Nothobranchius furzeri: one gene and its partner. The protein of the gene in region 1 purifies or fractionates together with the protein of each later gene. This does not show direct contact. Links are inferred from orthologs where the notes say so. Each region holds a gene or a part of one and is shown on either strand. Other genes may lie near its edges.

Region 1 (17,024 bases):
TCTACACTAAAGCCTGAGTCATGCTTCTGCGTCAGTGCGGAGACGCAACGCCATTATACGTCCTTGCGGGCCTGCTGGAGAGCCCCGCAAGGACGTACGGAGTCGAGCTCTCTTTTCTTAACATCCGTCCGTCAAGAAGGAGAACGCAAGCTTGTGATTGGTCAGGGCGCCGCTGTCGTCTACAGCGCCGCCATCGCGCCCTCAAAAACATAAAGAGAGCCGAGGATAACTAGCGGCAGACACGGAGAAGCTTGAAGAATACCTCATGAAAAAAACTCTAAAAATATGAACGTTCAATTCCCCGTGACTGGAGGAGTGAAAAGATGCACAGCAAGCGTTTTATTTGTGGGCAGAAATGACAGGAAACGTGGGTTTAGAGTTGGCGAGTGCATGAAGAGGTGGAGGAGGATGAGAGACTATTTTGTCCACGTTAAAAAGTCTCTTATATACAAAAAAAAACCCAATATAAACACAATACAGTGATCACTCGCTACTTCGCGATTCGTTTATCGCGGATTCACGACTTCGTGGATTTTTTCTTTGGAGCCTTATTCAAGGGAAATTCGCCGATTTGCGGTATTTTTCTGTCATGTTTTGGGGTAAGTGTCTAACCCAAGACATACAGAATCAGACTCGAGTCGAGGTAAAAGATAAACAATAATTTTATTTCTTTAATGATGAGGAGAACTGAGGGCGCACTGGTGATCCAGCGGAGGGTAAACCAGGAAGCGGCAAAATGCGGAAGTTCAGGGTGATATCCAGAGGCGAATTGTAGATTTCCAGGTGGCAGGGTAAACGGATGAGGAGGACGAGGAAACGGAGAGGGAGCGTGAGCACGGTGGAGAGCGGGACGGCAGAGCGGAGTTGGTATCCAGGCAGCGAACCGGTGAGTATCCAGAAGTCTCCAAGACGGGAGCGAATCCAGAGGAGAAGCGAGTCAGGCAGTAGTTAATCATCCGGCGTCGTATCTGGATAACGGCCCTCCTTTTAAAGCCGTCCCGCTGATCAGGCTGATGAGGATCAGCTGCGCTCCCTCTCCTGTTAAATAAATACTGTAAATATGGTGTCCCTACTTTGCGGATTTTCACCTATCGCGGCCAGGTCTGGAACGCATCTACCGCGATGAACGAGGGATCACTGTATCTTGGACCGATACATGACAGGATACCACAGAACAGCGCTACGCCCTCTGTTGTCCTGGCGGGGAATTGCTCTGCAACACTCCAGGAGACGGAGAAGTATGAGAGCAAAATGTCTCCGTCCGTGCGTGCGCGTCTCTCCCTGTTGGAGCTGACGGAGAAGCATGAATCAGGCTTAGGACGAGAGAAAATACACCAGCAAAACACGAGAGCGTGGAAGTCCCACCAGCTGGTTTTCTGGTTCCTTCTGTACGGCGCTTTCAAAGAATCGGACCGCTCCAGGGATGTCCCCCGCCTCCAACCTCTTCAATCCTTCTGAGAAGGGGTCTGGATGGGACAAGCAGGGGTTGTCCTCTTCAAACTGATACCCCTACAGGAGACACACGGAAGAAGAGGAGATTAGCAAGGTCAGAACATCTAACATCACAAACCCGACTGCTCTGATCAGCTACCTTGTCGTAAGATGAGCTGAGCAGCTGATCATAGTCAGACAGCCAGGGATGGCTCTCTGCGTCTCTCTTGGCCATCTCCTCCCACTCCTGCTGCAGCTTTTCCCAGAAGTCCACATCACTCTGACAAAATGAAAGATACAAATATCACTTTACCCCTCATTACATCCTTCTGTATCACAGACAGGTTTGACCTTTAATAATAATAATACGTTTATCATCAGGGATGAGGTTCTGCCCTGTAACGTGAGGAAATATGGGTTTTCTGTGCCAAAGGTTGTACTTGGCCCGGCTGGGTCAAAGCTGGGGCGCGCAGAACTTTCACCCACAGAGTGAGACCATAAACCATTACACTACAGCCCCAAGTGGAGGAGTTTAAGTATCTCGGGGTCTTGTTCACGAGTGAGGGAAAACTGGAGCGTGAGATCGATAGGCGGATTGGTGCTGCATCTGCAGTGATGCGGGCGTTGTACCGATCTGTCGTGGTGAAGAGAGAGCTGAGTCAGAAGGCGAAGCTCTCGATTTACCGGTCGATCTACGTTCCTACCCTCACCTATGGTCATGAGCTTTGGGTAGTGACCGAAAGAACGAGATCGCGGATACAAGCGGCCAAAATGAGTTTTCTCTGAAGAGTGGCTGGGCTCTCCCTTAGAGATAGGGTGAGAAGCTCAGTCATTCAGGAAGGGCTCGGAGTAGACCCGCTGCTCCTCCACATCGAGAGGAGCCAGTTGAGGTGGCTCGGGCATCTGGTCGGGATGCCGCCTGGACGCCTCCCTGGTGAGGTTTTCCGGGCACGTCCAACCGGGAGGAGACCTAAAGGAAGACCCAGGACACGGTGGAGGGACACGTTGGACTTAAAATGTGCTAAAAATAACAGTTTTTACAACACGTCGGACTTTTCACTGTGTTGTTATTGATGTCTGTTTTCCCTCAGGATTGCTGCAGGAGGACACCGGTATTTATGAGCGGCGGAGGAAAACGAAAGGAAGTAAATAAATGTTTTGTGATCAGTATAATTTGACATAACCACGGTAAACATGCTTTCGACAATCCTTGTTAGTGTGAGAAAAAAAGTGTAGAAATTAAAACGGACGTGTGTTAATAGGGAAACAGCTGGCGAGCCATGTTTGCGCATGCGCCGTGAGCGGTTCTGGTTCTGTTTGGGCTGCAGCCGCTTGAATTTGTTTACTGTGACGTAAAGTTGAAGTGCTGAAGTTTTGAAAACTAAATTTGAATAAAACTTGAAGAATAACTGGCAATTGCTTGCTCATTTCAAGAGGTCTTTCATATTTTATAACATGCTATTTGATACAAGGGTTTACAAAACGCAAAAGAGTAATTTATTAGAGTACTCGATTACAAAAATATTCGATAGCTGCAGCCCTACAAAATTTAGACACAAACTGCGGACAATCTTTTCCTGACATACAGCAGGGTTTATTTAGTGGTCTGAAAATTTAACACGTTTAAAAAAATACCGCGATAATACCGAAAACCGTGATAATTTTGGTCACAATAACCGTGAGGTTAAATTTTCACACCGTGACGACCCTATACCCCACATTTGGGTTAGAGGTTTTCTCACATTTACCTCCACCGCCGCTTTAGCTTGTTGAAAATCTGGCCCAGATGCAGCGAACTCGTCCACCCAGGCTTCCGCCGACTCCTCTGAAACCTGAAGAGAAATGACAACGGTTGCTACGAGTCTGTTCTCACTGGCCACGCCAACTCCTACGAGAACGAAGGATGGGGACGTTTAAAAACAGGCGAGATGAAGCCAGAACATAAAGGAAGCAGCGATGAAAGCAGAGACTAGGTAATTTGCTACAACCCGCTTTTACTTCTTCCTAATTCTACTTCTAGCAGCATCAGACGCTACTTGCATCTCAAATGTTCACGTAGGAATAAAATAGACAAAAATTAACTTCTAACACAAAAAATAAACACCTTCTGCTGCCACGACCCCAAAGGGCCTACCTGCCTGACGACTTTGGCCCATTGCTCTGCTTGTTTAGCTTTAACTTTGTCAATCTGGTGATTCGTCTCTGGAGGTTCCAAGGGAAGACTCCCTCCCCCCGTCTCCGTCAGGAACTACGATGGGAGGCGAGGAGGGGTGGCGGTGACAAGCGGGGACATCGTTTTTGAGGGGAAGGAAGCAGTTGGTGGGGAGGTTTGGTTTTGGAAGGGTGGGTGGAATAAGCATCGTTTTAAACACAATCGTAAGAAATGAAAGCAGTTTTTTGTTGTTGAGGGAATGCCAAGCCAAGAGTTTGAAGGCTGGTCAAAAATGGGAACAGTATGTGTCAAAGTCAAAGGATATGAAAGAATATAAACAGTCCAAGCAAAGCAGGATTAAGAGTCTAAACCCATTTTCACCAAGAAAAGGACGAAAAAGAGAGCATTAAATAAAGGAATAAAAGCAACAAATTAGGACAGAGAATTTGGGCTTAAACCATTTCAAATGCAACATAAAGCCATGATGGACCAATGCGATAGCGCTAAGGGGAAAACAGTAAACACTTTTAAATTCTAAATAAACAAATTAAAAGAAGTAAATTATAAAAGTCTGCAAGAAAGAAAAAAAAAAGAGCATTCAGGGGTGCCTAATCCTGGTCCTGGATGGCCGGTATCCTGGATGTTTTAGTAGTTTCCCTGCTTCAACACACCTGTATTCAATGAGCAGGTGATTAACAGGCCTTTGCAGAGCCTGGTGAACAGGTGATTGATCCAATGAATCAGGTGTGTTGGAGCAAGAAACTGATGGGCGTTTCGGCCTTTTACACTTTGAAGGGTTAAAGTAACAACAGATAGATTCTTTAAGCTGGAGCTTTAATATTGATCTCAGTGATTATTGAGTTAGAAACTTGATCAGTTTAATCTTTGACACCACTCTGCAGCCCTCTGCTGGCCAAAAACCACGCTTGATCATTTTGTGGAGCGGGTAGGTGCCCTGTAGAGGGTGGTCTTAACCTGTTTTATGGCTGTTAGCTGTAATGCTAGCGGTTAGCATTTTCAGAATGCAGATCGTCAAATAAAAAGCACAAGAAGGCTGGTGTCATGGCGGAGCCTGGAAGTAAAAGTAAGAGAGGAATGTCTTTGGAGGTGAAGCAAAGAGCTAAAACCAGAGTGAACATCGGCGTGGCCTACACAAATTTGAGGGAGCTGAAGGAGGCTACAAAAGCCACGGACTGATGGTGACCTGGCCTTGTTGCTACGGGACTTGTAAGTAATATTTTTGTCCAACAGTGTGAATCTTTTTACTTCATGGTTTATTTTAGTATTAGTTGTCTCGTGTTAGTGTTAGCTCGTTGTTAGCGCTAGCTACAGCAGGCTGCAGCAGGGTTGTTTACGACAATTGTAATTCCACTTTCAGCCAGTAGGGGGAGGAGCAGGAACCTGCTCTGTGTTACTTTAAAGATGGAGAAAAACTACTTGTAAGTTTTGTTTTAATTACTAGACCAAATATCCTGAACAATAAATGTAAAGTTGATATTTTAAAGTCAACTTCTAAATTTTTAAAAGCTGAAGTAAAGGAAAGCTCCTGATCTTCATTTATGCCACTTGCCATTTCAATTCTCCTTTATTCTTTTCCAGTTTGGCAAGCTTCTATGTTTTCTTTTTCAATAAACTAGTTACTGTTTGTTGTTTATTTAGTATTTCTTTGTTTCTTGGCAGATACGGTCTTCCACGCTTAGCTGAAAAATAAAATCTGGCACCAGAATTTCGGAAATTTCGCTGCAGCTCTGAGAAAGCCGTGGCCGGAGTCGACACAGGAACAAAGAGCTACCCTCACACGAGGAGAAGCCGTCCTCTTTGCAGAACACATCTTCTCTACAGGCTTGAGATTCATATTACAGGGAGAACGTGGCTTCATTTGGTTACATTTGTGGAAAATTTGTACAGATACTGAGGGGATGAGTCACGAGACAGAGCCTTTGCTGTGCAAAAAAAAAAAAAAAAGAGCCAATTCGCTACCCGAACTCTAACGTGTTCCCAGTTGAAACCACCCCCTCCTCAGTGGGCTGTGACTCATACCTGGTTGAGGTTGGAGGCCCAGTTCTGAGCCTCCTCGGCCTGAACTTTATCTGTCAGCTGTTTGTCTGTTCTGCTCTCCACTGTCACACTGCCCTCGCCAATCTGCCTAATGAATCGCAGGAACTACACAACAACAAAAAAATATTTACCATTACTAACCCGTCAGGTCTCGCAAATTAGCAGCTCATTGATTGCGACACCAAAACAACAGTCTCACAAAAACAAATCTACTCTGAAAATGTTACAGAAGAGGAAGATTATGGTGACAGATGTGTAAAAACGAATGATGTGCAGCATAAAGAGGATCCCCGACGGGTGGAAGAAACGCTGCTCACCTCGGTGTTTTGCAGTTTGGGGTCGTCGACCTTTGAGACAAGCTCATTGGCCGTTTGTCTCAGCTCATCCTCAGCCTGATACTCCTTTGTCCTGTCAGATCAAAAATACCACCATCACGCTGCAGTAAGAGCTCTGTTTACTCGTGGTTCTGCAGGCTGGAATAAATGATTTCAGGCTGAAAGCAGCACTTTGAAATAGTTGCCAGTGAAGAGAAGTCCAAGGCCGATAATCATTACATGAGCATTCGTTCTGATCAAATGCTTCAGTGAGAGCTTTTCTCACAATAAGCTCAGTATAATTACAAAAAAAGTAGAAGAGAGAAAAAGTTAAGGAGAAATTAAAATCTATCCCGACACATCCGCTTAACACGACGTCAACAACATTCTCAAGGTTTAGTTCTGCATTCAGATCGGCCATCTTTTGTTTTGTCCCGTGCTCCTCTCTGCTTTTACTCCCCCACAAGTGTCTTTCCTGCGCTCAGGCTTTACCGACACTCATAAAGCGATTCAAGCTCTGCTCTCACCATTCAGTCTCCTTGTCTCCAAGGTCCCCCAGCCACAGTTTCTCCTCAGACTGCTCCAGATACTCTTCTGCCCAGCGTCCAGGATCTGCAGCAGGAGAAGGAAAAACAGTGAGCAAAAAAAGACAGATTTGTCACGGATCTCATTATAAAACAGAGAGAACGAGTGCACGGAGTGAAACACAGACTCAAATTACCTGCAGCCTCAGCGATAAATTCTTTGGTCCAATCAGCATCTGCCGCCTCGCCGAGAGCATTCAGCCCCTGTGTGGCAGCAGAGTCGGGACCCGAGAGGAACTCGGCCGCCCAGTCACCCGAGAGGGCCAGTGCTGCTACATCTGGAGCTAAGACCAGGAAATGCTTCTTAAAACTGTTTTTGCATTATTAACACACGGGAACTTCTTAAAACTGGGACATAAAGCAGATAAGATAAAAGATTATACACATGAAATACCTCTCTGTGGAGCTTGTCTGTAGCTCTGCTGATCAATTTGCTGCATTTCTTCCAACAACTGACCCATGTCAAACGTGTGTGGGGGTCGCGGAGGCGCCTGAAGGAATTCATTTACCAACTAAAACATAAAAACACAAAAAAAGGCTAAAAGTGGCTATTTGAGAGATTACATCCAGAAATCAGAAACGTGGTAAGAATAATATTCTAATGCCTGACGAAAAACATCACCGACCTCTTCCTCTGTTGCAATTTCAATGGGTGTGGGGGGAATCTGAAAAAAGTTCAAATAAATAAATAAATGATGCAGCTAAACAAAAAAAAATTAAAATAAAATAAAAAAAAAGAAACACAACTCACTGTGGGTGTCAAGCGGTGCCGCCATGCTCCTTCTTCTTTGGTCATGTGACTGGTCAACTTCATGAGGGGATTGGCCCCCCCACATTCCGCCTCCACCAACTCCCGCATCGCCATGGCAACACAAGGATGAGGCAAAGCCAACCACACCACCTAGGACTACGAACAGAAGGAAATCTTCTACTGCTGCGTTTGTTTTAAACCTTCTCAATATAACAGTAACACCCCCATTGCTGTTAGTGCAGCACAGCTGGTTAATAATAACAGGAGATCTAACACCGTTACAAATGCTTGGTGACGCTTTCGTCCTCTTATCTGCTTAAGCAGATTTCTTTCAAATATTTTAAACAAGCTTGAACTAAATCATTGGCCAGTGTGAATCAAAAACATATTTTCCACAGCAGCTGGCTAGGTTGTCTGGACTGCAGATGCTTCTGTACCTACGCATAGTAAATCCCCAAGTGGTACCTTAACAGACACGTTCTGAACAAAGCACAATGAAAAGGAGGTTTATTTTTACTGCAGATTTGTTTTTAAACGTCCGAAGGACAACTCAAATAATTTTTGCTTTGATTTTACAGTGAATGGGTCAGAAAAGAGAAACCTGGAAGCTGCACAAGTGGCTTCACGTTGCATCGACGAGTTTAAACTCCCATCTGTCATTTTTTACATCACTTCCTGGCTTTTTCGAACCGTTACTAATGAGAAAGCAATGGCCTAGGAGGCACACAAATATCATCTGCTCCGTGCTTCCAGTAAGTTCGGCTCATTTTAGCAGCAACATTGTCGATGAGAGGAAAGGGCAACAATATTTGCAAAATAAAAATAACAGATTACAGTTATTTTATAGGAATTATTTGGTATAAGTAAATCATTTGTGTCACTCACCTGATCTGCCAAAATAAGAGTAACAGCACAATTTAAACATATATACAAACAATAGAACTACTGCTGATCACTGATCTCCATGCCCAAGAATGAACAGCTGACAAAAGGGTACATTTAGCCTACTCAAAATCTCCAACTCTCCCTGGAGGGATGTGAAACAATTTCCATAATGAAATGCGTGGAACAGATTTTTAATTCCACTCAGCTCTTATTTTGTATCTAAACCACCAAGTACAGCATTACACAACCCCGTCCATGCAGGTGGACGGAGTCGCTGCTCTCATGCAGAATGTGGACGTGAGTTTTCCTACTGAATCACACAGCTGCTGCATTATGATTAGGGTCAAAGTAAGAGGCTTAGACAAAGATATTAATACAGACATTATCACTGATAGGCCACTGTGACACATGTTTGTACACAACACATCTACTCAAGAGACATGCTGTAGTTTTAATACAGATGGCCCACTTTTGTGGAAAAAAACTGAAATCATAAAAAAGATGTTTTTGAATTGTGCACACCTGTCAGTCAGCGTTCAGATATCTAATGGCCCACGCGCTAACTAGCTAAAGACCCAGCAACAACATTAGCTTTGTTATCTCTTGTAGCCTCGTGTGGGCTCAATAAACAGCACATTAAAAAGAAGATGAAAACAATTAGCAACAATTTAGCTTTTAAAATAGATGTGCTAAGTGTTAGTTGGCAAGCTAGCAACCCAGGGCCAGTGCACAGGTCTCCACCCGGAGGAGGAGTGTGTTTACGGGGTAGCGTGATGTTCATCTCACCGCCGACAGCTCCTCCTGCTGTAGCCGAACAGTCGCTCCGCGCCGCTCTGTTTTCCGTCCTCGCCGGATCCTTTCTGGGCTAAAGCTGGGTCAGAACAAATCCTCCAGCACCGCCTCACAGCCTCCGCTGTGTGTTCGTAGTAGCGCCTCTTTTCTATTTACCTTCCTCCTCCATGACCCACAAAACCTTTCACCGAGCTGCAAGAGGCTCGTAATTCTACGTACTCTACGTAGTTGTATTCTTCAAATATTTACGAACGTGGAAGTCGGGCTTCTAAAGGCAAAAGAGCACGTACGTTTACGTAAAAATATGTGCAAGAGACTAAAGTCCAACAAAAGCAAGAGATGTTCCCTTCTGTGGAGTCTTTTATTTTAGGAAAACCTATCTTGTGTTTTTAGTTTAACTAATAATTTACTGACTAATTAGTCAGCCAATATAAAGAAAAGCCTCACAGGTTGTCTTTGCAGCTTGGGTGGAGTCAGAAATATCCAGGTGGAAAAAAATAAAGATCCTCAGTGCAGCTGACCAAAGAACCCAAGTCTTTCAACATTTGGGGAAAAGGATAGTTTGGGAAAGTCTCAAAGTATAAAGGTCAAACCTGCAAACCATCATTCAGGTATTTACGGTTTTCAAGTCCTCAGGCTTTTGAGCACGAAGACTCTTCATGTTACAGTGATCAGATCAGCCAAGTGTTCTTGGGGGCCCCTTGGAAAACCATTACCACTGCACAAAAGCCATGACTACATCCAGGAATGTAAAATTGCTGTGCAAAGAGGAAGCAATAAATCAACACTGTGTAGAAACAATGATGAGGTCTTGGGACACTAACTCATCTCAGATGGACAAAAAAACAGTGGATATGTTCTGTGGTCAGATGAGTTCACATTTTTGGTTGTTCTGGACAAATAAAAGAGATACTGAGCTCTGTATACAAAAAAGAACAACCGTCAAAGTTCTCATTAGGTAATAATAATTTTGCTCATTCATACTTTTGTAAACAAGAAACCTGCAGTTCAACAGCCTGATTTAACAAATTCTAGCTCCTAAATCTAACAGAAGCATGCACTAAACTGGAAAATACGCTCATATTATTAAAAAATGCAAAATATCTGTGGATTTTTGAATGAAAACACCATTATTATTATTATTAAAGGTCCAATATGTAAGAATGACAAATGGTGCAGTGGCTACCACCATTGCCTTGCAGCTACAAGGTCTTGGGTTCACATCCTGGCCTCAAATAGTTTGCGTGTTCTTCCTGTGCACACATGGGTTCTCTTGGTTAATTGGTCTGTCTAAATTGTTCTTAGGTGTGAGTAATAATAATAATAATAATACATTTTATTTAAAAGCACCTTTCAGGACACCCAAGGTCACTTTACACAAAACACGTAATAAAATACAATAAAACAATAATAAAACCCAAAGAAGAAAAAACAGAGAGAAACATTTCAATAAAATCAGAGGTTGTAGGCAGATTTAAACATGTGTGTTTTGAGTTTTGTTTTGAAAAGGGTAAAACTGTCAACGTTCCTGATGTCTGGGGGAAGTGAGTTCCAGAGTCGAGGAGCAGAGCGGCTGAAAGCTCTGCTCCCCATGGTAGCGAGACGGGCAGAAGGAACCGCAAGATGGATGGAAGAAGAAGATCTGAGTGAACGGGACGGGGTGTGAATACTTATAAGGTCTGAGATATATGGAGGAGAGAGGTTGTGGATAGCTTTGAAGGTATGGAGGAGAATTTTGAAGATGGACCTGAATTTAACTGGGAGCCAGTGAAGCTGCTGGAGAACCGGCGTGATGTGGTGAAAGGAAGGGGTTCTGGTGATAATACGGGCTGCTGAATTCTGGACCAGTTGCAGTTTATGAAGGAGTTTGTTTAGGAAGACCATAAAGAAGTGAATTGCAATAGTCGATACAGGAGGTGACGAGGCTGTGGACGAGAATGGCGGCAGTGTGAGGGGTCAGTGAGGGACGGAGACGGTTTATGGAACGTAGATGGAAGTATGCTGACCGAATTAAGTTATTAATGTGAGCCTGAAAAGAAAGTGAGCTGTCGAGAATGACACCCAGACTCTTGACGTGAGGTGAGGGGGAGACTGTGGCGCTGTCAATAGTTAAAGAAAAGCTGTCAGATGTTGAGAGGGTGGAGTTAGTGCCAACAAGAAGAAGTTCAGTTTTATTGCCGTTGAGTTTGAGGAAATTAGAGGTGAACCATGATTTGATTTCAGAGAGGCAGAGTGTAAGGGAGGATGGTGGGAGAGTTGAGTTGGGCTTACTGGAAATGTAGAGCTGGGTGTCATCTGCAAAGCAGTGAAACTGGATATTGAATTTGCGGAAGATTTTGCCGATAGGGAGGAGATATACTATGAAGAGGAGGGGCCCCAGGACAGAGCCCTGGGGCACACCTGACTTGACTGGGGAGGGTTCTGAGGTAAAGGATTTTAACTGGATGAACTGAGTGCGGCCAGTAAGGTAAGATTGAAACCAGCTGAGGGGGGTGTGAGTGATGCCTAAGGAAGAGAGTCTATTGAGGAGGATGGGATGAGAAATGGTGTCAAAGGCCGCACTCAGATCGAGGAGAATAAGAATAGAGATTAAACCAGAATCAGCAGCAATGAGTAGGTCATTAGTGATCTTGATGAGAGCTGTTTCTGTGCTGTGGTGGGGACGGAAGCCAGACTGAAACTGTTCATAAAGGTTATTGCGGGTGAGATGGGAATGGAGCTGAGATGCAACAGTTTTCTCAAGGACTTTGGAAATGAAGGGAAGATGGGAAATGGGACGGAGGTTATTGAAATCATTGGGATCTAAACCAGGTTTTTTTGAGTGTGTGTGCATGGTTGTTTGTTCTGTGTGCTTTTGTGTTGCCTTGCAATGGACTGGCAACCTGTCCAGGCTGTACTCTGCCCATTTGCCCATTGACTACTGGAGATAGGCACCAGTCCATGTGACCCTGCATGGACAAGCGGGTTCAGATGATGGATGGATGACATCTTGTGTTCAAATTTGGGTATTGCAGCCCATTTTCAAAACACACAAGTGACCCTCTCCCACTCTGTTTCATGGCTGTTACCAGTTAGGGATCTCCAGAAGATTCTAGATGATAAGCGAAGACGAGTCATACACATTGTGTTCATAAGTGGATACGTATCCTACATTTTCATCTAATATTGAGTTGAAAAAGTAGATTGAGATTTTTGTAGAGCCAGCTATGTTTTTCTAATTCATGGTTAGCACTGTTAGCTCAATGTTAGCATCTAGCCTTCCTCACACGATATTAGAGTAAAACACAAGGATGTCTTTGCTTCTTAGGGGTCAAGAAATAGTTCCTGGGTCGCTCCTGTTGCTTGCTGACACACTTCTGGAGCTTTTTGCTGGCTGGTGTCAAATTACAAATGTTGCATTGACTGGCGCCAGCCTCGAAAGGATAAAAACGGACAACCCCCCACTCTGTTGAGAAAGAAATCTGTTTCAATGTAACCTTCCTCCAGCATGATTGAGCCGTTAGATTATTTTTTGATTATTTCACTGTAAAATGATTACTTACTGTACCTTTAAATAAAAAATATTGTTGTTGTAAATGTGTAGAAATACAAAGCAGAAAGTTTTCAGTTGCTTTCTCTAGTTGGGGACACTAAATTGTTTGAACAATTTAATTATTTTAAAGGTACCATTTACTGTATCAAGGTGGAATTTATTTGGAAAGCCCTGATTGGTGCAAAATAATTCAATATTTAATACATTTGCATTGAAACAACATCACAAATCTTTGTTTCCCCATTAAAGCCATAACTTTTTCATATTTTTTAAATCATTTTCTTGAGCCAGTATGGGCTAAAATGAACCTTTACAGGGTTAATGAAATGTTACTCAGTTCCTCACTGCCCTCTGTGGCAAGAATGCCGCACTTGCATTGTCAGAGTGGCGGGCTGCTCCCTGTTGGACTTATAGTGGAGCTGAAATACCTGGCGCTGGAGTCTGCTTCCAGCACGTTTCCTGCATGTTTTAGATTAAAACACATCTAATTTGTTAGATTTGGTGATGAGCCGCTCTTGTAGAAATTTGAGACATTTCAGCAGTTAGATTAAGACGGACGCACAGCAAGAAAAGAAGTTTCACTTTTGGTTTCACTAACCTGACACTAGGGGGTGCTAAAAGCAAACCTGAACTGAACTTGCGCTGTAAGATGAATTCTCGCGAGATTTGGAGTTTTCCAAACTCGGAAGAATCCTGAATCAAAATATGTAGACTCGACACGGGACGGGGTTACGTGAAGTTCTACTTACTTTGAGAAAATCATTGGTAATATATTGTGTAGGTAGATGTATTTGTAAGTAAAGCCTAATTACCTACCTGATTGGTTTGAGGAAAATGTAATTTTTCTATTAAGTAGGAAATATTTCAATCAATAATTACAATTAAGAAAATTATACGTGACGGATACATAATTGAGAAGCTTTCGAACAGCAAAATTAATCTATTTTAAAGTGAATTTTACTTATTTGTTTTCAAAAATGAGATTTCTTGATAAAAATGCCCTCCAGTATGCAGAACCACCACATTAATAAAGAAACCATCTCATGGAGATGTCATATAGTGTTTTTATTATGAATTTTGTAACGTTTTCCCACAGTTAATTACTTAGCATAATCCATGTTGGCATTTTATAATTATTACAGATAAAGTCTGAACATAGTAATAATATAAGTTATTATTCAATGCAATGTTTAATCCTTCTTAACGTCACACTCAAAAACAACAGGCTTTATGTACTGACAGCCTTCGCACTGCACATTAATAGGCTACACAGACAGACAGCAAGAGACACGGAGGGAGAGGTGTGGGGGGGGGGGGGGGGCAGGAAGGTGGAAGGAGGGAAAGGTGAGGAGAAGCACACAGTTGTACATTCAGAGGACTGAAAATGACATTTGAATAAGATTTGGAATAATGATAATAATAAAAAGCATTTTATCTTTAAATGGGAAGAAAGAAAAATGACCCTGCAGTCTAATGCATGAATGAGTGAGACGTATTGAAGCATCACAACAATGTGCCCTCCTTTTTACTTTTCATTTATATGAACATATGCTTAAATTACAACAATATTACACACAACTAAAGAGACACTCATCAAGCCGGAGATGATCATCCTTATCACTACTAATATTAATAGTATTCTTATTATCATTATTATCATTATAGTATTTTCTGATGCTGGAAAGGTGATTCCTTAAATGGAAAAAAGAAAGAAAATCACAATTTGCCTCCCTCTTAAAATGTGCTGGAAAGAGAAAGAGTGAACACAAAATAATAATAATAATAATAGATATAACAATATTTTGTATGTACAGAAAATTCATTACAATCAAAACTGCCCAAGCTGAGCGGACATTCTGGAAACAACTAAGGTGGCGATGTAGATGCTGTGTTCTTGTGTGTTTGCGTGTGACATTCAGTTGAGGAGTGTACAGTGAGAGAAATGGTGCAGAGGGCGACATGGATGGGCAGGCAGGGGGTCAGAGGTCAGGCGCTGCTTTTGTCATCCTAATGCACGAGCTGGAACTTTGCAAAGACTCCAGTTTGAAGCTGAAAACAAGTTGAATTAGAAAGTATTTCATGTTTTTTTGAAGGCTTTTGTATTTATGGAGTGTTGCAGAAGTAGCGCCTGTATGAAGGTTGAGGTCTGAGGTTGGTGCGTGCTCCGATGTTGTTGGGGGGGGGGGGTAAACAAAATACAGCAAAGAATGGATGTAGGAGACCAATCTTGCTATAAAAAAGCATGTGAGGAGATCTGATTTGAGGTTTTATAAACACAATAGGTGAGCGCATTGCCTTCACAATGTGGTGGAGAAGAGATATTTCAGGAGATGATAGAAATAGGGAGAAAAGGGCTTGTGCAAAGACCTTTTGAGTCAGTTCATTAAACAAGTTCAAACATGTGAACATCAAGGATTCCGTCTTTGCCCAGAAACCGTACTTCAGGTTTGAAGATTTGACTTTTTTCATTAAGAAAGGAAGAATACAATCAGTTATTTAAACAAAACAGTCCCTTTCAACCAGCCTTGCACTTCACAGACACCGTGTTGTGATTTCGACCACATATAATTTTGGTGGGGCTTAGTTAGGCGATTTAATTACATTGACTGTTTACATTGTGCCATTGAACATTTAGGTGGAGAACGACAGCCGGTTGTTGGCTATAGGTCACATATGGCGTTGAGTGTTACAGTGATTGTGCGTTGTGTTTGTAAGCATACATTCCTTATACATGTGGTGTCAGCAGTTGATGTTAAAAGTGTGTGTGTGTTTGTGTGTGTGTGTGTGTGTGTGTGTGTGTGTGTGTGTGTGTGTGTGTGTGTGTGTGAGGAGCGCTGATCTTGTGGTTTCCATGAGAACTCGTGCAGAGATACATGTGGCTCAGTAGCGACGGGCGTTTCCATCTTTGCCCTCCTTCTTGATGATGATTCGCTGGTCGTCGCTCGCATCGTCGGGCGACTCTGCTGCCTCCTCGTCTTCCTCCCCCTCCCCCTCCGTGTCGGCAGAGATGCCCATAGGAGATTCGTAGGTCTGTGGGAGCACACGCTGATGAAACTACATGTCAATAAATAATTTTTTATTCATTTATTATGATTTTATTCCCAATGAAAAGCAGTGGTGCTACCTCCATTGGGTTGACGATGATGGTGAGTGCTGAGTCATCCCATTGGCTGCTTCCTTCCTTTGCCCCTCCCCTTGCACTGTCGCCTCGGCGATGGATGGAACGAATTCGGAAGACACCTAGGATTACCATGACAACCAGGAAACCCACACACACCATGATGATGACGGTGGCTGCTCCTGGAACCACTGTAAAAAAAGCACAGACCACGTTCAAAGGAACAGTTTCAATAAAAATGTTTTCATTTAATCACACGAAACTACCAAAATGAGCAGAAACAAACATCTGAGTTGATCTAAAACCTGATGCAGCTCCACTGTTCTCAAAAGCATATTAAAAACGCCTCAATGTGCCACTTTACTGAAACGGTCAAATCAAATCTTCATAACAATAAACAAAGGTTGCTGCATTTACTCAGCCACTTTCATTGTTGGACTAAATAGCTACTTAAAAATCCAATACTTGTCTAATTTATGCTGGTAAAACCCACAGAGTCCTTTTGTCAAGATGTCAACAGAAACAAATTAACATTGGCTTTAGAGACATAAAAATACAAACAGGAAGACTTCTATTTTTGTCAATTTCACTCTTCAGATTCCTAATTATTAAGGTGATTTATAGATTTATTTTTTCTTTTTGCATAAATGTTGAAGATTTGTTGACCCAAACAGTAGAAGATTATAAAATATCATTCTGTATTGGTTTAGATCACATATGTCAGAGTAAAGGCCCGCGGGCCAGATGCGGCCCGCGGAGCATTTTTATGTGGCCCGCGAGATAAATATCAAAAATATATTAAAACTGGCCCGCTGGCCGATTTTACCGCAAAGACTTCAACTCCCATGATGCTTTGTGGCGTCAGCAAGGAGGCGACGCGCCCCCTCCTTTGTGTTTTTTCCAGCCCGAGGCAGTCAGGTCAGGGGTAGTTGGGTGTCTGCAGCTCCGCTGTCTCGGACAAACTACACTCCTCTCACTCAGCGCCGAGTTCACTCAGCTGTTTTCTGACGTTGAAGCCCAGAAATGGAGTTTCTAGCCGCTCAGTAATGTGTTCACGGCTTAAAGAGAAAGTTTTCAAACTAACGTCCAGACAGAACTGATATAACTCCAGCGAACAGCGACACGCTCAAACCAGCACGACTGGTCGTGTTTCCTCCCCGACACACAACAACGTGGTCAAGCTGCTCAGACATGTTCATCAGCACAAACCTATGTGAGCACCTGTTGTCATCTAATGTTGTCATTATTATGATGAAGATGAACAAAACAACAGGAGTCTCCTCCTCAGCTCAGGTCAACCCCATGATGCAGGTATCTGGCTGGAACAGGTGAGCATCACAGTAAACCAGTGGAATAAACTGAGCTTTAAATTTGTTGGTTTTATGCTCTTTTTCTGCTCCAAAACAT
Region 2 (16,588 bases), on another chromosome or scaffold:
TCAGAAAAGTCTGTTTGCTTCTGACAGAATGAAAAAAGAAATAATTCACTCACAACAACAGCACATCTGAATGTCGCAGCAGAAATCGAGACTCATCAGACTAGGCAACATTTTTTCAATCTTCTATTATCCAGTTTTGGTGAGCTTGTGTGCATTTTAGCCTCAGTTTCCTGTTCTTAGCTGACAGGAGTGGCACCTGGTATGGTTTTCTGCTGCTGCTGTAATCCATCTGCCTCACGGTTGGACGTGTTGTGCTTTCAGAGAGAGAACGTTAGTTGTAACGAGTGGTTATTTTAGTTACTTCCTTTCTATCAGATTGAACAAGTCTGGCCATTCTCCTCTGACCTCTGGCATCAACAAGGCATTGTCACCCACAGAGCTGCTGCTCACTGGATGTTTACACTTTTTCGGACATTCTCTGTAAACCCTAGAGATGGTTGTGAGTGACAATCCCAGATCAGCAGTTGCCCGTCTGGCACAAACCACCACGCCACGTTCAAAGTCGCTTAAATCACCTTTCTTCGATATTCTGGTTCGGTTTGGACTGCAGCGGGTCGTTTTGACCATGTCTACATGCCTAAATGCTTCACATTGCCACCGTGTGATTGGCCGATTAGTGGTTTGCGTTGATGAGCAGTTGGAGAGGTGGAACCAATAAAGTGGCCAGTGAATATAGTCTGGCCGTGACCCATAGACACAGCTCAGTCTTGGATTCTATGGTTGTCTTTCAAACTGTCTCTGCACGCTATTGGACAGCAACGTGACATACTCACCACTACGGACGTCAGTCAACAAGACAGTCCTCCATACACTGTCGAAGAAGAGGAGGTACCTCTATCTGCTCTTGCCTTAAAGCCCAGGTCTACCAGCCCAAAGTTGATGTCAAAGCTGTTTCACACGATCTGTCGCCATCTTTGTTTTTTCACTCCATAGCAGCATTCGTGCAGCTCGCGCCCACCAAATCAATAGAGTGCGGGGATTGGCAAGACACAAAACTACTCTGGCCAACAGTAGACTTGCTGAGGCTCCTATGGAGCACGGCTAGACCGACCTGCAGAGAAAAATCCTTTTGCTTCTGCTAGTCTGTCTAGATTTTCTCTTTCACAGCAAACACAATGCATAAATGTACACATTTATAAGTCTTTAATAGCTGATGATTTGACTGATGGCACTTATTGGTAGCCTGACCAGCCAGCCCCACGCTTCTCTGTGCAGAATTAAACAGAAGACGAGTCTGGCAGGCCAGGCTAACTTATTGGTTGACCAAGAACAACGAGGAAGTCAGTGAAGAAGTAAACAAGCGGTCCTTGGTAGATATTTGTTAAGAAATTCATCTTCCAAGATCGTCAGTTAAATATTTCTCTTTGAGTTCAGGTCATCTAGACGTGACCACTCAGCTAACCACTGTAAGAACTGGTCTCCTAAGATACAGAGGAACTAGTTCAGATGCACAGCAAGAGCAAGAACTGAGTGGTGTTCACCGAGCAGCCAGTTCAGGTTCTTCCTGTGCTGAGAAGACCAAGACAGAAGGTCTTGCTCCAAAAGACACTTTCAAGCTCAACTTAGCTGTCCACATGAACGAGACTAATGTTTTCTAGACTAATGTTGATGTGGGTATTAGTCTCCTCCAGCTTCACTGGCTGCCAGTCAACTTCAGGGTTCATTTCAAGATCCTGGTTCTGGTCTATAGGGCCTTACATGGACAAGCACCATCTTACATTGATGATCTTCTTAGTAGGGATGCAACAATACCACTTTCTTCCAAACCGATACGATACAGATACATGGATCTGAGTACTCGCCGATACCGATGACCAATACCGATACTTCTACAATACAAAAAAAGGCAATGATTTGGAATACAGATTTTATTTTCTTCTCTGCACAGGAAAAGACTGTGAGGTAGATAAAAAGTAAAATATATGAATGGAAATCATCACAAAACTAAAATATTAGGTGAACAGAAATGACAAGTTACAGTGAAGCCATTTTCAAACAACTGCATTGGTATCGGTTCCTGGTATCGGTTAACTTTTACCAATACCGATACTGGTATTTGCATTGTATCTGTGCCGATACCGATACCAGTATCGGTGCATCCCTACTTCTTAGTACCTACACCTCCAGCAGGTCCCTGAGGTCCAGTGATCAAAGCCTACAGCTTGTGCAGCACCTGGCTAAAGACCAAAGGTGACAGATCATCTGCTGCTGTGGCCCCCAGTGTCTGGACCTCTCTCCCCCTGAGCCTGAGATCAGTGGACTCAGTGAACTCCTTTAAAAAGCAGCTGAAGACTCACTTGTTCAAGCTGGCTTTTGTATGACCTTCTCCACCCTCTCCTTGTTCAGCTCTCCCCACCTATTCCACCTTCCTCAGGATCCACTGGTTTCCCTCTTTCCTATTCACTCTCTCTTTCTTAACATTTTTTGTTTTAAATCGCAATTGCTTATTCTTGTTCATTTTAAATATATTTTTAAACATTTTATAAATGCTTTTTTATATTTTTACATTTTTTGTTTTTGTGAAGCGCCTCGTGATTTTTATCTTGAGAGGCGCTATAGAAATGATATTTTCTTCTTCTTTCTTCTGGAGGCATGAATAGTTTTAAATGTGATTTTAGTTAAATAAGAGAAACATGATAGAACACATTAGACATATTTCCCTTTTACCACCCTCCTACTTCCTCTCCCTTGTAATATTCCCAAAAGAACAAAAACAAGATTAGGGTTCGTTTCCGGTGTTCAGATAAGGAAGCTAAATGTGTGGTTTACCAGAAATGTATAGGGATGGCGTCGTGCTCTTGGACGCTGCACAAAGGGGATGCAACAATGGAGAAACAAATGTGAGACCTCATCACATCTTTAAAATAAGTTTGTGAACACATGATCAAGAAAATCAGACCAAATGATTGTTTATTTACTCAACATTAAGACAAACTGAAATCCCTGTTGATCAAAGAGCATGATGAACTCCACATGCTTGCTTTAACAACAGTTTACACTGTAACGATAACTGCTATTTCCCACAGAAAGCAAACGCTGCTTAGCTTTTGTAAATGTAAAAATTCCAGATTAAGAGCAGAAATCGTTTTCAGGCACATTTCTTCCAGATAAATCAACATTTTATAGTGATACTTTGAGTAAAGCGCTCTTTTGTCACCATTGGGATTACAATATCAAAATGTTATAAAACTATTTATGGGTATTTTGTTGCTTTTTTTAATTTGGTGAAAATTTTGTTTAAAAAAAATCCAGGTTGCAGCAACCCGAAAAGGCTGGAGGTTGCAGGCATTTTTATTTAAGCAGCATTAGTAGAGTAAGAACTGAAGATTTCAGGTTTGAACAGTTCAAATGGGATCATTAAAACAAAAGCTACCCCACGTGGTGAGTGTGTGTGTGTGTTTTCAAACAGCTTATTTTTTTTACAGCTAACTTCAACTGCAGCAAAAAAACGCAGAAATCTTTCTGCCGCTCAACGACATTCAAAAGCAGGAAAGCGTGCAGACTGCTGAAATCATCCATCACACAGCATCAGACCATCATCTCCACGGATGAAGAGGCAGTTCTCTCAGAAACACACACACACACACACACACACTTATAAACTGGAAAGCAGAGAGACTAAATGATCCCATCTGATCTCACGCAGTGAGGAAACTGCCTGAGCTAAACTGCTGCTGTTGGGTTTTCAGTGTTTGACAAAAAAATTATTTCCAGGGTAAAGATTTTCTTTTAGGGTCGATCAGCTTCAATATAATAAAATATCTCATGTAAAAATAAAAAAGTGGCATTCCTTCTTTAGTCTCTTTTAAATCAACACCGTATCTTTCTTATTGGTCTACTACAACTCTGCAGCCCTTTCACGAGATTGAGAACGAAAGAGAGCGGACGGCGGAACAAACGCCAACGGGGAAAAGAGCCCTGCCGGCTCTTCCCCCCCCCCCCCCCCCCCCCCACGTTATTTCTGTCAAGCCAGACAGGATAGCTGAAATGCAACTAGCTAACGCAGACTCGTCCCAGAGTCTTTGATTTCTGAGTTAACTTAAACTTGAGAAAGCGCGTCTGCTAAACGCTTCATCAACGTGTACCGAGGTCAACTCTGGACTGGACCGTCGCACACCTTCGTCTCCTCTGCCAGCCAAGGTGTGACCTGGATAAACATCCTCCGAGGTCCGGATCTGAAAGAGGGTCCTGAGTACGGTGAGGCAGAACACAATAGATAGCGTTCTGATGCAGTTTTTCTAATAAGAACTAAGTTTAATTACAAAACATCATTTTTCACTCAGATTCACCTTTTCTCTCCCTGAAGCAATCTCAGACACCTGCATGCACGCAGTCATAATTACATCATCCTCAATCTTAGCACATCCAACACAAGGTCTATTTGTGCAAGCTTAAAATATCAACTGTTAAAGATTGTCCAACAAGGTTGCCAATGTCGATTGTTTTCTCTTGGAGGGAAACGTGTCTTCACCAGCGACTCGATGCTGGACGTGAAGAAAAGATGATGAAACATGAGACTAAATATAAATTTAATGGATATTTAGTTCACAGAACATCTGCAGCCATTGTGGTTTTCCTGTTGTATCGGTTGTTATTTCTGTGAAGTCAAACTTTATCTAATTAAACAATAATTTAGCATTTGTTTCTATGTTTGTCACTGAAATGTGTTTATTAAGTGTGTCTGCCCTCCACTAAGTCGCTACGGCTCTACAGGTGGGATGTATATCAGCTGATCGTGATAAACTTCACCTCATGAGAGGAGGGGGGGGGGCTACATTTCTCACTAATTCTGCCCATTTCTTATTTTCTGTAAAATGTGTGCAGGGTTAGTGTTCCAGCCGGCAGCCCTTGTCCATCCACCAGCTCACAGTTTGGCTCTCAGAGGCTTCAGGTATTTGTGGAAGGATTCATGGACCTGAGGAAAACATGGGACAGGTTTTAAGGTGTGATAATAAACACTTCAAGGATTACCACGTATACGTTAATGACATAACCAGGTCCTGGAACCCGTGCTACAAATTCAATATCCACTCTTCACGTCACATGATGATGGTTTGTTCACCTCTGTGGCATTAAGAGGCGAGCGACGAGCCCACTCGAACATGTTCTCGTAGACATTTCCATCAAAGCGTCCCAGAACAGAATTCAGCTTCTTGTCGTGGATGTCAAAGGCGTCCACCAGCGCCACGGCGTTGGGCCTCAGCTGAGACAGGAGCTCTTTGATACGGACGGAAATCTGTAAAACCTGAGGCGCGCTCAGCAGTCCAGCCTGAAAATAGACACCAGAGATGTTCAATTAGGAAAACGAGGTCGTCGAGCACAGGCGCCACCGGTCCCTCCGACCACTACCAGCAGGCAAGGAGGGTGGCAGACGGGGCTCGAACCTGCAACCCTCTGATCATGGAGCAGGCACCTAAAGCTTGGTTTATGCTTGACGCATTCACTTTCCGCGCGGTGATGCGGCTCGCGGATGGAACGCGCTTCACAACTAGCAGCGTTTATGGTTCGTGCGGCTCGTCTCTGCGGTGAGCCAATATTCTCCCAAACTGTAGGGGGCAGCATGGAGCTCTACGGCATGCAGCCAACACTACACCATAGTAGAAGTAGAAATTACTGTTTACAACATGGCATTTCAGCATTTTTAACAGCGTTCTCGTCTTTTCCGACAGTGCGAGCTATTTCTCTCCAAGAATTATTAACAACATGTTGATCACGGTGATCTCTGAGAGCTGAATCATACAAATGTCTGTCTTTACGAACCTCTGCCATACTAGTTCTTGCCGGTCCGCCATGTTTTTCCGCATCCGTCCGTCCGCGTGGTTAGAAATTTTCTGGAGGTACGCGTTGTGGAAACTCTGGGTCGCGTGGAGGCGCGGTGGAGGGGCGTGGTTGTTAAAATGACGCAACTTTTCCGCGCGGAGCCGTGCGGACCTCGCGGACGCGTCAAGCATAAACCAACCTTAACTCCTCTGCCACCATCGCCCAGTCAACACCAGAAACAACGTATCTTTTTTTTTTTGTTCACACAGTAAACCAGATGAGATCTAAATTTGCTGAGTCATGGTTTTCAATAAGAAGAGACCACATGTTTTTGACAGGTTTTCATCTTGAAGGACTTACTTACCAGCAGGAAGTCTCCGGAGTTCTCTGCGATCCCATGCATGGCATAGAGAAGAGCCAGGGTGGACAGCACAGAGTGTATCGCTGTGTCCCCGACCTCCCCCAGCTTCTCACTGAAGACCTTCACTACAACGTAGTGACAGTGGGCCTGGAGTCACGACACAAGTCAGTCTTTCTCCACAGTTCTACATGCACACGCACACGGGTGGACTTACATCTGAGGCTCGGACCAGCTCGATGGCGCTACCGTTCCAGGCATCCTCCTGACTCTTCCCGCGCTGCAGCTCCTGATGGATGCTCTTGGCTGCCATCTCCACCAGACTAAACACACATGTCGTGCATTAGATAAAACTCACCGGAACTCAAACGGATTGAATGAACGGTTAACTTTTGTTTGGATTGTTCTGATGTCTGAAGCTACCGAGCCACAGTCCGCCTCACACTTTGCGCTCATCGCAACAGACACCTGCTGGCAAATGGATCTGGGTGAGACTACAGCAGACAGTAGGAGTGATGTCATCAGCAAAGGCTATCGGGTTGCACACAGAAAACCACAGAAGCAGGACTCTGATGGCATCATCATCATCAATCGGACATTCTAGTAGAACCCATCTGAGCCCCAGTAAAGGTGTTGGTAAATGAGACCAACGTGACTCCTCCCAGAGTCGTTAAGATGAAACTCAAACCCACTGAAATAATCACAACGTTCTTACATTGCAGCTCTCTGTTTGTAGACCTCCACCAGGCTGCTCAGATCGTTGACGTCGACCACAGGCGGTTGGGCGGCGACGGCCTGCGGCTGCAGCCTCCGGTTCTGTGACTCGTTGAGGTACGACACGATGCCGCTGAGCTGCTGGCCCTCTTTAGCCTGCCGGTAACTCTTCACCAGATATCTGCACAGACCCAACGTTACAGACGACAGTTTCACCGTGGCTACAGTCACAGACGCGTCTGCAGGCTGCAGCTGTACAGGTGAGTGGGTTTAGCGGTGCTTTAGTATTTAGTTTTATGAACTAAAACGATCTCTTTGAAGGAACGGACCCGACAGGTAGTGGCCTTCGTGGCTGTTTATTCCTGTGTAGTCACCTGGCAGTCTGCAGCATCATAACGGTGTTCTCTCCTTCGTAGGTGCAGGTGGGGGTAAACGCCACGTAAATGTCCGGTAAGGCGCTGCTCCGGGAGTAACCGTGGCCACCACATGACATGCGGCACACTTCGATACCAGAGTTAGCTACCCACGTGGTGAAGGCCTTCAGACCCGCAGAGAGGGCGTGGAGCTGCAGGTGGAAGAGCAACGGGGCAGAGAAGAAGAGCTTCAGCGGTACAAGCATCAGCTTTGATTTCCAGTCAGTTTCACCTTCCGACCTCCATCTTCCTGCTCCAACTGGCTTTAATAAAACAACTATCTATGATAATAATAATGATAGTGGTGATAAATAATAATAATGATGATCATAATAATTATATTAATAACAGTAATGATAATTTTAATAATAATTACTATTATTAATAATGATAATAATTATAATAGTAATAGTGATAATAATATTATAATAGTAATGATAATAACATTAATGATAATAATAACATTAATAATAATAGTAATAATAATAATTATAATAGTAATAGTGATAATAATAATGATAGTGATTATAATAATAATGATAATAATAATAATAATAATAATAGTGATGGTAATAATGATGACAATAATAGTGATGATAAATAATAATAATGATGATCATAATAATTGTATTAATAACAGTAATGATAATTTTAATAATAATTACTATTATTAATAATGATAATAATTATAATAGTAATAGTGATAATAATAATTATAATAGTAATAGTGATAATAATAATGATAGTGATTATAATAATAATGATGATAATAATAATAATAATAATAATAGTGATGGTAATAATGATGACAATAATAGTGATGATAAATAATAATAATGATTATCATAATAATTGTATTAATAACAGTAATGATAATTTTAATAATAATAAATTATTAATAATGGTAATAATTATAATGTAATAGTGATAATAACATTAATAATAATAATAGTGATAATAATAATAATGATAACAATAATGATAGGGATTATAATAATAATGATGATAATAATAATATTAATAATACTAATAATAGTGACAATGATGATGATAATAATATTAGTAATAATAATGATGATGATGATGATTTTAAGTGATAATGATGAGATGACGATAATAATAATAATAATAATATTAATAATAATAATAGTAATAATGATGATGATAATAAGTGCTAATGATGATGATGATGATAATAATAATATTAATAATACTAATAATAGTGATAAAGATAATAATAATAATAATAATAATAATAATAATAGTGACAATGATGATGATAATAATAACAATAACAATAACAACAACAACAACAATAATAGTTGACATTTTACTTATGAAACTAAAGCCGAGTCCATCTCTGTAGCACCAGCGCTTATGTCTGGACTTTAACCGGTCCAGTACAGAACCTCAGCTCCTTTCTTTTTAAGCTGCTTGCTTGTAGATCGGGTGCTGATGGAGCTGGGCATTATGGGTAAACATCTCAGTTTAATCTCGTTCTGCCAGAAGTCCTCAGGTTGATGGTGGGGTTGATGTGAGACTTGAACAATTTTAGAAGCAACTAATCAGCCTCTTTCAGACTGATAAGTAAAACTCTAGCACCGAAAGGTGGACTTCCAAATAGTTCCTGAGCGCGGACATGTCTGCGGCTCCCCCAGAGGATGGATCAAATGCGAGGATGTAATTTCAAAAGTGTGTGACGACTAATGGGACTTTAACTTTTCCCCATGACTGTAACTCCTGAACGTGACAGTGTGGCTGGTACCTCAGGGAGCTCGCTGAAGTCCCCGTCGTTGATGTCTCCAGATATGCGGTGGTAGATCTTTGACATGTACTGGCCAACAAAACTGAAGGCGTAGGCTGTAGCCAGCAGGGGGAAGAGCTTGTACTGCTGCGTCTGGTAGTCCAGGATCTGAGGCTCCGGCTCTCTATGGATTACACACGCACGCGCACACACACACACACACACACACACACATTTTACAGTGCCATTTTTATTCTTCCGATTGTTTGCTTTAACCCTATTCATGATGTTGTAGCAGCAAGAGCCATCATGCATTAATGCATCTTGATCCGGAAGCATCTCAGATTGTGGATTTTACTGATCATTTTTAAATAACACGTATTTCCTGAAATAACACAAAAGTCTCTGTAATCCCATAATTCCAAGGTTCTACTTTCCTCTGATGCTCTACATGTCTACCTGTCTTTGGTTCTTGTGTTTTCTATGAAAAATACTCGATGTAAACGTCCAGAACTTGCACTTAGAACAACCTCAACACATAACCTTAAGCATATTCTCCGTACTGCAACAACAATCCCCATGGGAGACACATTTGTTTTGATCTGATCTGCTTGTTGTGCTGACTGACCCGGGTCGGATCTCAGACTGGTGACGGACGGCGCTGTAGCGGATGGCAATGGTGGTGGACTTGGCGAGGGCCCGAGCAGACTCGCCAACAATAATGGAGCGGACAAACACCATGGTGCCGTAGGTCAGCTTGGAGCTGGGTGGCTTCACATAGGAACCGTCTGCCTCCACCTAGAGGAGGGCCAGAGTCACGTTTACACCCAGATCTGCAATAAGGACTTCATGCATCTGGAACTTGTTCAGATTTCCGTCCATCTACAGTAAAATAACCTAAAGGGACAATTTTAGCTCAACACAGCAAATGCTACAAGCTAGCAACCAAAAGTAAGTAAGTCATGAACACACCGTGTTTGTAAAAAGAAGGTTAAACACCATAAGTGGTCACAACTGATAAATAAAAGCAGACATGAACCCTCTCTAATGGTGAAACAACAACCGCAACAAGCAGGGGTGTAGCTAGACTGAAGGCAAACCTTGGGTAGATGATTGTGGTTTTAAAGTCTGCTCAGATATTCTCATCACCGTACCTTAGCATACTTCATTAGCATGTTCTCCCGTGGAATCCTCACATTCTCCAGTTTCAGGAAGCCGTTGTCAACTTCACTGAAGCCAAATTTTGGCCCGATGTCGCCGACCACAATACCTGGGATGGAAAGGAGCCGTATGAACAGGGTGAGGTGATGAACGAGGACGAAAAGACGAGTCGAGTTTACCTGGTAGAGGTTGGTGTGTGCTCATGTCGCGGATGGGTACGATGAAAGCGTGCAAACCGTGACAGTTCCCCAGGCTGTACAGCTGGGCTATGACTATAGCATGGTTGGAAGACTTCCCCACTGGAAGCACAAAGTGGGCAGATTATGTTGGTCCATCCACTTTGATCAGTGCTTCTCCAACCAAATTACAACAAAGACAGAAGCTGACCCATAAAGTGGATTTTTATGAAGCGACTGGCCAATGATAACGCAGCTTATTGAGTTTGTGATTCCCAGCTGCACCAGAGACACAACAGCGTGGATGTACTCACGTCCTCCGGGCCACCACTTGATGGAGCTGACGGTGGGGCTGTTCAGCACAAACTCCTGGGTGGCTGGATCGAATGTCGCTGTGGTCTCCAGGCCTCTGAGGTGAGTGCCTAGAGAGGTTAAAGCCCACCAAACAACATGTAGGAAGAAGAGTTTTAAAGAAACAGAGAGGTAGAGTTAGGCATTAGGACGTGTTTACATATAGATGATGCTGAACAACACGACAGGATCATTTCTTAGCAAGAGAACAGCATAGATTAAATGAGGTCATGGCTCAGAAGACATGGTTATTGTCTGACTCAACAAAGCCAATTAAAGTCTGTGAAGGTTCTCAGTCATCCAGGTCATTGTAGTCTAATGAGCTTTGAAAGAAAAGCGTCTGGACTTCTTTGAGTTGCTTGAAGACGTTTCAAGACGTCGGACGTTGAAGACACCAACTGTCTGCCATCTATAATCCAGTTTTGAGATCCCTTCCCAGATGCCTCAACGCCCACGCATATCCTGACCTCAGGAATTCACATGATAGGGTGGGGCCAGGCTTCACAACGAGCTCACCCGAAACTCTGGCTGAATAGGACCCACACCCACCCTCACACCTTGGCTCATGTGTTTTTGTAGAAGATCATCAGGGGGTCTTTTGTCCCCTCTTCGGGGGGAAACTCCCACTGGGTTTAAATCTGGGACTCTCCACCATTTGACCTTAGAACTGAAGAAGCCTCTCGGATGAGAGGTGAAACGTCTTCAAGCAACTCAAAGAAGTCCAGACGCTTTTCTTTCAAAGCTCCTTAAAGCCAATTAAAATTTTGTTTTAATTTGATATAAAAAAAAGAGTAAAGCAGAGCATCTTGTAGTGTTTGACAGATCTCAAGCATCCTCTGAGATAATGAACGTCCTGCTAGTTTAGCTGGACTGCAGCAAAAACAGATTACGACCCGTGTTAAAAACATAAAATCTAGTCAAGTTTAAAGGGTTGGTCAAAGGGGGAGTTTATCTGGGAGTGTCTGGTGATCGGGAAAGGAATCCAAGGAATTGTGGCTATTCTAGGGGTCTAAAGGTGGAATTCTAAGCGGAAATGAAGATTTTGTGCAAACACCAAACAGGAGCCTTAAATAAATGTAATAATTACGCAATCAATGTTTAGTGTGTCCTTCAACCTTACTTAATCTTCTCTGATCAGACATCTCTAGAGGCTTCAGTCAGAGCCCAGCATTCTCCACCAGCTCTGCTGAAATTTGGCACGAAAACATATTTTTGTTTTGTAAAATATAACTGCCTAGAAACCTAGACAGACAGTCGCAGAAGTAAAACAATTATGCTTTACAGGTCAGTCTAGCCACACCCCATCGGAGTCTCAGCAGGACCGAAGAGTCTTGTGCCTGGCCAATCACAGCACTCCATTGGTTTGGTGGATGGGATGTTACTGCGATTGAACAAAAAAACAAAGATGGCGACGGCTTGATTGAAATGGCTTTGGCGGCAACTTTGGACTATTTAGACTTGGACTTGTCTTTGAGTCCAGGGCAGAGAGAGGTACTTGAGTTTATTTAGAAAAAAGATGTATTTGTGTCTTCACCGGTGTATGGCGACTGCCCCGCAGACGGACATCCATAGCGGTGAGTACGCCATGTTGTTCGATAGCATGTAGAGACAGTTACGCCTACCGCCTATGATTTGTGAGTAAAATTAGCCAGGGGGGTCTCTTTCAGGCTCGGGGATTTCTACATTCCCGAGAAGTCCCTCGGATTATGTGAACACTACAACGCCCGTTCGAGACCGAACTCACTCCATCCAGCCCCACCAAACCCCGACCGTGCCGACGCCAATGTGTAAGCGCCTATAGATCTCGCCCCAGGACTGAGCTTTGTCTATGGGTCGTGGCTAGACTATATATCCACCTCATTCCTGGGCCTGCTCATGTAGAAACGATACCGGAAGTGGTGCAGAGCTCTTGGTTTGCATGGTGAGGTTTGGTTTCTCGTAGCGGTTTAACATTTTTGTGCAGATTTTAAGAATTAAATGTTGCGATGTTTGCGGTTGTACTAACAACCAGAGAAAGTGAAATTAGTGGCTACAGGAGCGATGTTTGGAACATGCACTCAAGACTCAGACTCAAGAGAATATCACTATGTAGGTCCTGGAGAGCCACGGAGCTTTTATGATCGTTCATTGCTTCGCCGTCAGACGTGACCGAGTTAAGTAGCTAGAATGCTACTGCGTGTTAGCTTTGGTCAGGTTTTCATGTCATCCTCCGCCCGTCTAGTGCAGTAGACAGAGGGATTGTTACGGTGTCCCGTTTGAGCTGTGACAGCTGCTGTTCCCACATAGTTTACGTCTAAAAAGACCATAAAAAGTGGATTAGCACAAATGGATTGCATCATCCATCTATGGTTGCCATGTAAACGGTAGGCAGGTCGCATATTTTACATAAAGGGTCTTGAGGGCTTGGAATAGGGTGGATTGGACCTCAAACAGAATGCGTCAAACATTTTAACTTGTTTCCTAGAACGCTGAAACGTTTACATCCCTGCAGCCTTAAAGAGATAAATCCTTTAGTCATTTGGGATTTTCTGACAAATACAACCAGAACGTTTGAAGAGACCTGTGTGAAACTGTCCTGCTGCTCAGAACGGGTCTGTTTATTTTACCGTGGCCCATCTCAGTCTGAGCGTAGGTGCCGATGATGTCTAGGTTCCAGGTGAGCATGAAGAAACGCTCCATTTGTTCTGGGGTGGCCTGGTTGAGCAGAGTGGGCAGGAACATCACCAAATGGAGGTCCAAGGGCGATGGCCCACCTGGGTGCACACAACTTGGCCAAGCAAGACAGAGGCAAACAGAAAAGGCAAAGCAAGCAGTAATGTGGGAAAGGCAAGAAGGAATATGAAGAGTTTCAGGAGATGAGTTTAGAGAACCCACAGAGGAGTTGTTGGTTAATGATTGATACGGTTCAAGTTTAAGGGAAGAGAAGAGAAGGAGAGGGAGGTGTGGTTGTGCAAACAAACAATAAAAGCAGAGGCAACAGAGAAAACAGTTTTTGAGCATTACATGCATATTGGAAGTGCTGATTTCAACACTGACATTTACCACCATCTTCTTTCCCATTCAAGTGCGTTTTGGCAGGGAAGGAACGGCTCACAAAACTCACGGGTAGCACACGGTCATGGTTTTGGTTCGGATCACCCATCTCAGTTTTACTTTCAACACTAGAGAACATCTGGGAAGATCCTCTAGGATCACCAGTCCTCTTAGACTTGTCATGGAGTCGTGTTAAACTGGACCAAAGACCCAGTCTGGCTCCAGGCTCATTCCTGGGACAATCCTGGATTAATTCTGGGTCTGAGTTTAGCAGAGTGAATGTTTAGAGCACTGGGTGTGCTAAATGTCAGTTAGCTATGATTCACATGTGTATCCTGAGTTTCCTGCCTCAAGGAAGAAATAAAACCTTTGTTCATCTCTGCGTCTGCATCACAGCTGAGGAAATCTGATCAGGATGAGATGTTAGTTAGCAGCTACACGTCGGGTGAGAATTACACATGTTTCCCAGAGGTCTCTCTGTTCTGTTTCTGAGACTTTCTCACCGCCAACGTAACGGACTGGATAATGATCCCAACCAGAACCATGTGTTAGGTTTGGGTTTATTCCCCCTTAACTAAAGGCAACACAGCTAATACTTCTTATGCTCGTTCCATTCCAAGTTTTTGGTAACTGCACGAGTTTGACACCAGTATGGGAGGGTTTGTAGGATCCTGGTCCAATGGCGGACTAAACCAGAAAGTGCTGTAAATATATTCCACATTTTCAGAGTAAATGTGTACCAATTATTTACAAATTGAGGAACTTCCTTCAGTAACAGATGACTCTGTGGAGAGCCTGGTGTACATTCTCACTCCCACAGATTTGCCTTTCAGATTACGGAGAGACCTTCAGAGGCCTCATTCTGGATTCCCCGAGCACACTTTCACACCGCACAGGATTACCACTGAACTCACACAGATCAATGTAAAATATTCTCAGTCTGATCACACGAGATGCAGTGAAGCCAAAGACAGACCCAACCGTACGGATAATTTTCCACCTTTTGTTTCTTTTTTTACAAACTTTGGTTATGATTTGTAGAAGCTGGAAATTAATCAGAGTACATCAATCAGAAAGCACCCGAGATGCATCATCATCATCATCATCATCGCATGGGAGAGAAGTGAGAGAGCTGAAAGTAGTGTGGATGGGATTGTAGACAAAACAAGGTTAGCTCTAAAAGTGTTTGTTTTAAACATCTAGGTGTTAGGGACACAGACGCTGCTAAGCATGTACTATAAAGCGGGTATTAGTGGCTTGTTAGGAAAACATCCAGCCGCTGAACAAAACCATCCTGAAGCTGCCGTGTCTGTTCTTCGTGATTTAGATCCGTCAAACATGTCCAAGAAAACTCCACTCTGTTCATGCTGGGTTATGGAACAACCCGGTTTGGTGTCTGACCCAAGTACAACGTGTGGTGATCATTTAAAGACAATCCTGCCAATCTGTGCCATCTAAGATCACGTAAAGTTTGCTTTAAGAAACAAATCTAGTGATTGATCTCCAACCCAAGAACAGGACTGACCGTGACCCAGCTCGGTTTGAGCATATGTGCCCAAAGCCTGGTAGGACTCAGCAAGAGGCAGCCATTTCTTGGCCTGTTGGGGGTCACACTGGCTTTGTAGGGTTGGGACGAACATGGTATAGTGCAGCCCATAGGCCTCCTGATGGTTGCCATTAACCATACTGGGTGAAAGGAAGGTCAAAGTTCAGTTACGGTTCCTCAAAATGCAGACAAGAGATTATCCTGAGCTACCAGGTTCAAAAGGCCTTTTAAAGACCAAGTTCACTTGTTTTTCCAACACTCCAGCAGTTGTCTCTAGTATAAATTAACGTATTCACTGCCAGCCGTTTCCTGATCAGAAATCCCGACTGCCAATGAGTGTTTTTACTGTTTTTTAAAAATTCACAAAACATTGTGCTCTATGATCATTTAAACGCCAAAACTACCAATTGAAAAAGGAAACTCACTTCCTACATCATCAGGAAGAATCGGCGGGTTTCTAGCGTTAACAGTTCTTTAACAATCCGTTGTCGAAGTGTAAGCGGCAGAAGCTTTTCCGGTTGGCACCTCACTTTTTTCACAGCAGCGACCCAAACTAAGGGTGTGTCCAAACCCACGGGAAGGATGCTTGTAAGAGTGCGATGACGTCACAGCGCAGCGACGGGTACTGTCCGAATTCCAAGAATACTCATTCTCGCTAGGGATGCACCGATGGATCGGCATTTGATCCCAATCGTCCGATAGCGCCCCTATCGGTTTTGATTGGAGTTTTAAAAATAGATCAAAGCAGACCGATCAGGTAGGGTTGTCACGGTAACCGATGTAGCGGTAAACCCCGGTAAAAAAAAGTTGACAATAATAATAACCGTCTTGAATTTAAAAAAACTATATTATCTCGGTGGTTTTACCGTGGCTGCGGTGTAGGCGCGGTGACCCTTACCAGCCACCGTATCATCTGCTGAAGTTGCCGGCGGCACATGCGCGCTTTGTTGTTTACAACCACAACTTTCTTGAAACTAAAGCTGAAATAATGGCCAAAGGAGGAGACGGCAGCGCTCAGGAGGACATTTTTTATCCCTCAAAGAAGACAAAGTCGGAAGTACGGGCATCTTTTGGATATTTGAAAAATGCCGAGGGAGTTTATAGAAGACGGCTATCCTGTTTGCAGCACGTGCAGAAAAAGTGTCTGTGAAAGGCAGCAACGCTTCAAATCTCATGACACATCTGCGTGACCATCACCCACAACTCTAAAGTCAACACAAGGCAAGCTAACGTTAGCGTTTTAGCTAAAATGCATGATCCGAGGATTTGGGTTGAGGAGAACGCAACGAGTCGCTATATAAAGCAGCCGCAGCGGTTTTTTTTTTTTACAGC

What was found.
Region 2: the proteins of pex5 (region 1) and acox1 purify together in Homo sapiens (affinity purification with mass spectrometry; 3 studies listed by BioGRID, with this or other methods). This does not show direct contact. The link is inferred for Nothobranchius furzeri from reciprocal best matches to the Homo sapiens genes PEX5 and ACOX1.

Annotation. Positions count from the first base shown.
Region 1 is NC_091745.1:74,158,436-74,175,459, reverse strand, and holds the start of pex5 (peroxisomal biogenesis factor 5), read right to left. Parts: upstream 9,167-17,024; 5' UTR 8,962-9,166; intron 7,447-8,961; 5' UTR 7,405-7,446; coding exon 7,291-7,404; intron 7,205-7,290; coding exon 7,166-7,204; intron 7,052-7,165; coding exon 6,934-7,051; intron 6,824-6,933; coding exon 6,677-6,823; intron 6,568-6,676; coding exon 6,483-6,567; intron 6,050-6,482; coding exon 5,959-6,049; intron 5,747-5,958; coding exon 5,624-5,746; intron 3,680-5,623; coding exon 3,566-3,679; intron 3,264-3,565; coding exon 3,180-3,263; intron 1,712-3,179; coding exon 1,592-1,711; intron 1,510-1,591; coding exon 1,366-1,509; intron 1-1,365. Other genes in the region: clstn3 (calsyntenin-3), read right to left, coding at 15,380-15,544, 15,624-15,808.
Region 2 is NC_091747.1:74,018,669-74,035,256, reverse strand, and holds the end of acox1 (peroxisomal acyl-coenzyme A oxidase 1), read right to left. Parts: intron 15,397-16,588; coding exon 15,236-15,396; intron 13,445-15,235; coding exon of another isoform or gene 13,284-13,444; intron 10,749-13,283; coding exon 10,641-10,748; intron 10,450-10,640; coding exon 10,330-10,449; intron 10,260-10,329; coding exon 10,144-10,259; intron 9,788-10,143; coding exon 9,618-9,787; intron 9,174-9,617; coding exon 9,011-9,173; intron 7,398-9,010; coding exon 7,207-7,397; intron 7,014-7,206; coding exon 6,834-7,013; intron 6,442-6,833; coding exon 6,336-6,441; intron 6,269-6,335; coding exon 6,125-6,268; intron 5,270-6,124; coding exon 5,063-5,269; intron 4,916-5,062; coding exon 4,865-4,915; 3' UTR 4,513-4,864; downstream 1-4,512. UniProt on the Homo sapiens protein: Involved in the initial and rate-limiting step of peroxisomal beta-oxidation of straight-chain saturated and unsaturated very-long-chain fatty acids.